2 linked regions of the Danio rerio genome follow. The protein of the gene in region 2 interacts with the protein of the main gene of each other region in a pairwise test. Links are inferred from orthologs where the notes say so. Each region holds a gene or a part of one and is shown on either strand. Other genes may lie near its edges.

Evidence for each region.
Region 1: the proteins of si:dkey-191g9.5 (region 2) and plekhb1 interact in binary tests that used the Homo sapiens proteins (3 or more experiments, as listed by UniProt). The two-hybrid records come from large-scale screens. The link is inferred for Danio rerio from reciprocal best matches to the Homo sapiens genes RAP1GDS1 and PLEKHB1.

What each region holds. Positions count from the first base shown.
Region 1 is NC_133185.1:41,791,738-41,796,341, forward strand, and holds the start of plekhb1 (pleckstrin homology domain-containing family B member 1), read right to left. Parts: upstream 2,942-4,604; 5' UTR 2,835-2,941; coding exon 2,795-2,834; intron 300-2,794; coding exon 147-299; intron 71-146; coding exon 1-70.
Region 2 is NC_133188.1:24,892,911-24,896,745, forward strand, and holds part of si:dkey-191g9.5 (rap1 GTPase-GDP dissociation stimulator 1-B), read right to left. Parts: intron 2,777-3,835; coding exon 2,672-2,776; intron 1-2,671. UniProt on the Homo sapiens protein: Acts as a GEF (guanine nucleotide exchange factor) for the Rho family of small GTP-binding proteins (G proteins) that stimulates the dissociation of GDP to enable subsequent binding of GTP.

The sequences.
Region 1 (4,604 bases), on a different chromosome or scaffold from region 2:
AGCATAGTGCCGTCTCTCAGATAAACTACCAGCAGATTTTCCCTTGGGTGACTCTCGGGTGGACCTACACCTGTCCATAAACACACTGCTTAGTAAAACAATGTTAAATTCAAGCGTTTATTAGCATAAATACGTTCGAACCTTACCTGCACACTCCAGTCCAGACCTCACATTCACACAGCTGCTCTTCAGATTCACTTTGGTCTCGTAGTCTCTTCTGGATTCACTTTTGTAAAAAACAAAACTTCCATCGATCCACAGGTCACACCAGTTTAGTTTCCAGCGTTTGAGGACAGAAGCTGTTTAACAAAAACTTAAAGTGATTAATTATGTCTCCTTTACAGACCAGCTGATCTAAGGAGCCAACATAACTGTTCAACGTAATGCCAGAAAACTGGCTAATTCATATATATATATATATATGTATGATTTTATGCATACGAAAACATGATTTTTTTAAAGGATCTCTAAACCAATAATCATTCAGTGTAAAAAAAATGTAGGGTTTCACACAATTCATTCATTCATTCATTTTCTTTTTGGCTTAGTCCCTTTATTAATCAGGGGTCAACACAGGAATGAACCGCCAACTTATCCAGCATAAATTTTTATGCAGCGGATGCCCTTCCAGGTGCAACCCATCACTGGGAAACACCTATACACTCTTGTGTTCACACACATAAACTACGGCCAATTTAGCGTACCCTCAAAAAATCTGCTGTAAATTTACTCAAGCCAATTCAGAATATAGTGACTTTTTTCTTCAGCAGAACATTAAAGAAGATTTTTTTTTTTTTTAGATAAAACTGTGGTTCTTAATAATAAATAAATCAACCTTTACAGGCACTTTAAAGAGAAGCAAACATATATAAGCAAAACTAAAGTTAAACCCGTGGCTCCTGATACCATCAAGGTGTTTGTTATGAAGTGAAAAGATAAGTCTGAATAAGAAATTGAATATTATTTTCAACATTATTACATTTGTAAGTGAATTCTGTTTGTCCCCTGATTTTGTCGAGGTTATAATGTTTCCATAGAACATTTCTTGCCTATTTTTATACACAAGAAAAAAAAGTGGATTTAAACGTTATATTTTGCAATGCTGAGTTTTGTTTTTTTAGAGTTTGGATGAAAATTCAGAATTAAGAACTTTGTTCTTGGAATTTGTTTTGAGTTATTTTAATACTACATTTGCTAACAAAATGGGACAGTTCACCCAAAAATTTCAATTCCGTCATTACTTACTCATCTTCCACTTTTTCCAAATTCATTTCAGTTTCTTTCTCTTTTGAATACAAAGGAAGATACTATGGAAAATGTTGGAAGCTTCTATATGTTTTTTCCATATATTTTATGGATGTCAATGGCTACCAGTTACCAACATTCTTTCAAATATCTACTTTTCGGTTCAACAGAAAAAAGCTACTCATATAAATCCGAAACTACTGAGTGGATATGTATTAAATAATTTTCCATTTTTGGGTGAGCTATCCATTTAACTTATTGATAATATAGTTAAAATATAAAAATAGTTTTATACCACATGTAAATGCATTTAGAGTGCACTCCATTGACTGTAAACACATTGATTCTTAATTCTCAGAATTACGAACATTCTAAAGTACATTTTCATGACATTATTTTTTGGTGGGAATCATTTTACATTTTTAAATTACATTTTGATATTCTCCCTTGGTCAGTTGCGTGTGTTTTATTATAGCGAGCACACAACAACAAACTGGACATTCAGCTAGCAGCTAATGTGCACTGTAACACTGACCGTAAGAGGATTATTGCTAACAGTGTCAGGCCTGAAGTTTCATAACAGACCTTCTGGAACAGTACTCCTCGTCCTTTTTTTAATTAATGTATTTAAGTGTGTGTGTATATATAGGATTTTTCCAATTTAGACCATTTAAATTTCACAGAATTTGCAGCCAGACACTTCTAAAACAGCATTTGTGCTTTTGACCATCTATATTTTAATATAAATATAAACATTAGGATTGCTTCTTCCTTAATTTGTGTCCCTAAAAATGAAACTCCCATGGTCACACTTTATTTTAAGGTACAATTCTCGCTATTATCAAACCATTAAAGATGGCTTTTAGCTTAGTGAACTCCTCATTTGCTGCTTATTTATAGTTTATTATATAGTTTAATTTATTATGCTATCGGTTGGGTTTGGATTGGATTAGAGATATGATCATGCAGAATATGTACTTTATTGGGTGGTCTAACCCAACTAGGACGCGATCCTACATTAACATCTATGTTGGTCCTGAAACATCATTTTTTGTTTGAAAATGTGCTCCATACATAATCTTTGCCCCTAAACCCAACCCTAACTGTAAATTATTCCCAAAATTAGAGGGTAATAATATTTGCAAATCCTCATAGATGCACGTAACTCTAACTATTAGCCTAAGCTTAACATAAACTGTAAATGTATCCCTAAATTCTGATTGGCTGATTGAAATGTTGTTCCAGGATCAACATAGATGTTTATCCAGCAACATGTTCTACTTATAAACAGGCAATTTTTGTTGCCAGTAATACTGTGTAATTTACAACTTCACTTTAAATGAACAATTAAAACTGTGCTGTTTATTAATTATTAATTTACAGTGCGCTTGTATATTTGACAGTATTACTGGCAACCAAAATTGCCAGTAATACTGTAAATTTTACAGCATTTTCTGCTGTATACTTAAAGTGTTTCCATTCCTCTGCTATCCTTAATAAGATTACAAAACTCTTCACATAAGCATTAATAAACAAATCTTCCACTTACACTGTCTCCAGAGCCAGCCGGATTTGAGCAGAGCCATCATGAGCCCTGGCCAGTCAGACACCACAACAAAAAAAAAGCAATATTCCCAGTGTTGTGCTGCAGGTCTGATAAGTGTTTTGTTTGTAACTCGGCGATGACTGTTAGTCGTCTCAGCCTTCACTCGGCTTTTGTAGAGCTGGAATAGTTTGATGACTCTTCCTTTAATCCCTTAAACAGGCCAAAGTGACCAGTAATCTCAGATTAAAGCACAGTCTGAGTTTCTACTAGTTGTCTGTGGAATATTCGCTCCCCTTTTGTGTGTTTAACTTCATGCTTGTGTGTATTTTTGTGCATTAAGTCTACTTGTTCACATTGAATGATGAGTATGCATGCTCACACTTAATCTTAATCTCCATATACAGACTGACCTAACCATAATAAATCGACTTTTTGCAATTATTTAATGCCTTCGTAAACTCATTCAATTGGATGTCCTAACAAAAGAGAGTCTAAGTCATTCTGTTGGTATAAAAAAAGGTTTGTTGGTATATAATCAGGGTCACATGCTAATCTTTAATCTCCCCTTTGGCTAAATTTAGCAAATGTTAAATAACTGGAGTAGTTATATCAAGCTAGCTATTTTTAAACCATTGAAGTAACCGACCTATAAACACATTTATCACTGAAACGTGTCATGCTTAGTCATCACTGCATGACGGCACTAGTTTTATAACCCAGGAATTGCCCTTAATCTTGAGCGCTATAGATCATGTTAATTTGACTGGTTTTCACAGTCAAAGGGCCTGAGTGTGTTAACTTTTGTTTGTAATATATTAAGCATCATTATTATGGTGTATTAAGTGTCATAGTTTTAGAAATGTGTGTTTTTGCTAAGCCTGATTATTAAAAGTATATTTAAATCATCATATATAATGTTTACTTATTATTTTAAAATGATAATTTTTTTATTATTATTATTGTTATTTTTTATTATTAATAAAAGTAATTCTAAGATAATAATGTAATTATTATTATTATTATTATTATTGCTATTGTTAAAAAAGAATAATGACTTATTATTATTATTATTATTATTATTATTATTATTATTAACAATAGCAATAATAATAATAATAATAATTAATAATAACATTTAGCCCCATAGTATATTTAGAAATGTACTTGTTGCAATGCATGGTAATTTTAATGTATTTTATCTATATTAATATCAACTACTGTTATTAATATTGATCATTTATAATCAACGTTGGTAAAATCAATACACAATGAATGCTAATTTCAAATAATGCTATTTGTGATACTGAAATATAGCAGCAGCAACAGCTATAATAATAATAAAAAATAATAATAACAACACATTTAGTTCCATTGTACACTTATAAATGTATTTATTGCAATCCATGGCCATTCATAAATGTATTTGTAATTATTTATAATCCTACTGCTACTAATAATAATAACTATTAATGTTACTATAACCAATACATAAATAAAATATTATTTTGCATAATATTATTTATTATCCGTAAATACAGCAGAAGCAACAGATATAAAAATGGTATTAATAATAATAATGGTAATAATAATAATAATAATAATAATAATAATAACAACAACAATAATAATAATAATTATTATTATTATTATTATTATTATTATTATTAATAATAATAATAATAATAAAATCATTATTATTATTTAATTACGTATTTTATTTATATTTGTATTTATTTAATGCATGGTCATTTACTGTTATTTAATGATAATAAATCATGTTTATTAAGTATTTTGCTAGTAATAATTGTTAGTT
Region 2 (3,835 bases):
TCACATTACAGAAATCTAGTATCTAGAACAGGCATGTCCAAATTCGGTCCTGAAGGGCCGGTGTCCTGCAAAGTTTAGTTCCAACCTTAATCAGACACACCTGGGCTAGCTAATCAAGCTCTTACTAGGCTTTCTAGAAACATCCTTGCAGATGTGTTGAGGCAAGTTGGAGCTAAAATCTGCAGGACACTGGCCCTCCAGGATCGAGATTGGACACCCCTGACCTAGAATGTCTATTTTGCATTTACCTTTTGTCTTGTGATAAGTCTTGTGAAATATTTTACAGAATGCATGCTCTGTTTGATGGACTGAAAAACCATATGAATGCTTCAACAAAGCTTTAACAAAGCTTTCCCTGTTTTCCACTGATGCCAAATCAATTTCAAACCACGCATTCTTTCAGCTCGCTCCTCCTGTTGCTTCACCTTTTCTTTCATCTCCTCCATCAGGTTTTGTACCGTGCACTTCAGAGCTGCTCTGACAGCAAGGCCTCAGAGTAATCCGTTCACATTCAAAGTGGAAGACAAGGATCTGCTCCTGAGACAGAGCTGCCAGCATGAGGAAATGTGTCACTATAGAATGTTCTCTTTAAGACAAAAAAACATCCAGAAAGGCCACGATGGCAGGTCAAGCTGTCAGAGGAAGCCGAGCTGCTATGGAAACATCTACTTTGTGTTCTTTTGCGGAGGCTGCTTTTTCCATTTTTAGATGCAATCGCGATCCGAAAGCACAAGTGACGAGCCAAGAACGGACAGCTGGTGCAAACTAATTTGCGGAATGAGCAGAAGATGGGGAGCGAAATGGAGAAAAGGAGAGAAAGATTAATGAGATTAACCCTTTCTATCCTTCGCCTTCTCTCTCTCCCTCTCTCGAATGTAAATGCGGATTACTCGTCTCCTACTTGTGCCCCAAATCTGCTGTCAGGAAGATAAGCTGACCCTCTGCTGCCCCCTACATTGGATTGTCTTCCCACACACTTAAACATACACACACACACAAACACACACACAACTTCAAGGAGGAAGAAGCAAATAGCAGCTCACAGCAGGATGAGTCTGTAATGAGAGCAACACTAAATGATGGCCTTGCTCAGTAGGGCTACTGTCAACAACATACGTCACTTTTAGGTGAGATGAGGTCTTTTTTATGGGCTCTTGTAAGGTTCATGGCCCTGAATTGGATGTAGATTTAGATGTATGAGGTTTAGATAATAAACCAAGAGAAATAGGAGCAACAAGCAGAGTGTGTGTATCTGTATATGTGTGTGTGTGTGTGTGCGTGTGTGTGTGTATATATATATATATATATATATATATATATATATATATATATATATATATATATATATATATATACACATTTTCTTTTCGGCTTAGTCCCTTTATTAATCGGGGGTCACCACAGTGGAATGAACCGCCAACTTATCCAGCATGTGTTTTACGCAGCGAATGCCCTTCCAGTGGCAAACCATCTCTGGGAAACATCTATACACACTTATACACTACGGACAATTTAGCCTAGCTAATTCACCTGTACCACATTGTCATTGAAAACCCATGCGAACGCGGGGAGAACATGCAAACTCCAACGCCAACTGACCCAGCAGAGGCTCAAACCAGCAACCTTCTTGCTGTGAGGTGACAGCACTACCTACTGCGCCACCGCGTCTCCTATATATACACATTACACCAGTGTTTCTCAACCACATTCTGATTTATAGAATTTAATTGTTAATCAATGTTAGTCACATGTTCATATTGATTGACGATACATAGATAGATAGATAGATAAATAGATAGATAGATAGATAGATAGATAGATAGATAGATAGATAGATAGATAGATAGATAGATAGATAGATAGATAGATAGATAGATAGATAGATAGATAGATAGATAGATAGATAGATAGATAGATAGATAGATAGATAGATAGATAGATCATAGCAGCATTAATTGTAATTTTTGGATTCAAACCATCTGCACTTGCTTCGAATGATATCACTCGATTGAATAGGCATCATCAGTGGTTATCAGCTGATAGATATGGGCCAGTATGGGCCTTCTGCACCTACTGGTAGGCTCAGAAGGCTGTTATCATCCATCCACATGGATAATCAGCTATAGTAATAGAGAAGCCAGCAGCTAGCAAGAAGGTCGCTGGGTCGTTGGTTCGAACCTCTGCTCAGTTGGTGTTTCTGTGTGGAGTTTGCATGTTCTCCCTGCATTCGCGTGGGTTTCCTCCGGGTGCTCCGGTTTCCTCCACAGTCCAAAGACATGCGGTACAGGTGAATTGGGTAGGCTAAATTGTCCGTAGTGTATGAGTGTGTGAATGTGTGTGTGGATGTTTCCCAGAGATGGGTTGCGGCTGGAAGGCCATCCGCTGCGTAAAAACTTGCTGGATAAGTTGGCGGTTCATTCCGCTGTGGCGACCCCGGATTAATAAAGGGACTAAGCCGACAAGAAAATTAATGAATGAATGAATAAACATAAGATGTGTTTATATCACAAAAATTATAATCACAATTTATTTGACAGCTTTTTACAGGCTCTTGAAAAGGTGATGGCACCAGAATTTGACGTTGCTTTAGTTTAGAAATATGGATTTTTGGGAATGACACACAGTGGTGTATAAATAGACTGAGGAGGGATAGTTAATGTTGTAGACTCACTCTTCTCTAATAGCAGGTTGAGCAGAACATCCAGATGAGGCTTCAGCTCCTCCTCCACCAGCTCTGTGCTCACACTGATGCCTTTCAGGGCCTCGCTGAGAGATTCTGAAACACAATCATAAGCATCACGTACACTGCCACACAACATTTCAAAATAACAAGCAGGTATGGCAGCGCCTCCAAGACATTTTTCATGGTGATTCATAACCATTGCAGTTAAACTATAGAGACAGCTGAGTTTATTCATGCATTCAGTAAATTTGAAAAAGCATATTTTTTTACAAAAATGTAATGAAGTAAATAGAATGCTGTTGATTTATTTATTTTTTATTAGAGTGATATTGAATATTTATTTTTGCACACTCATTTATCCAGTTTTTTTTCTTTAGATGACCTTACTTAAGATTGCTTACTTCTAAATCCATTCAGATCTTTTATAAATCTTATATTTAATAACTGGTTTGTTATTATTATATTAAAAACACTTTTTGGCATATTTAAAACATACACTAAAATACAATATATTTAAATATTTACAAACATACAAGGGCTGAAGCAGTGGCGCAGTATAGTGCTGTCGCCTCACAGCAAGAAGATCACTGGGTAGCTGGTTTGAGCCTCGGCCCAGTTGACGTTTCTGCGTGGAGTTTGCATGTTCTCCCTGCGCTCGCGTGGGTTTCCTCCGGGTGCTCTGGTTTCCCCCACAGTCCAAACACATGCGGTACAGGTGAATTGGATAGGCTAAATTGTCCGTAGTGTGTGAGTGTGTGTGTGTGTTTGTGTGTGTGTGTGTGTGTGTGTGTGTGTGTGTGTGTGTGTGCGTGCGTGCGTGTGTGTGTGTGTGGATGTTTCCCAGAGATGGGTTGCGGCTGGAAGGGCATCCGCTGCGTAAAAACTTGCTTTTTCATTCCGCTGTGGGGACCCCGACTAAGCCGACAAGAAAATTAATGAATGAATAAACATACACTATATTTTCAGCTGTATTTATCTGGATTGATTTTGATTAATATTGGATATTTTACCTAGATTGATATTGGATATTTATTTTTGCACACTCATTTATCCAGTTTAATTGTTTAATTTAACCTTAATTGCTGACTTCTAAATCCATTCTCTTAAACTCTTTTTTTTTAACTGTTTAATAACTGTTTATTGTTGTATTTA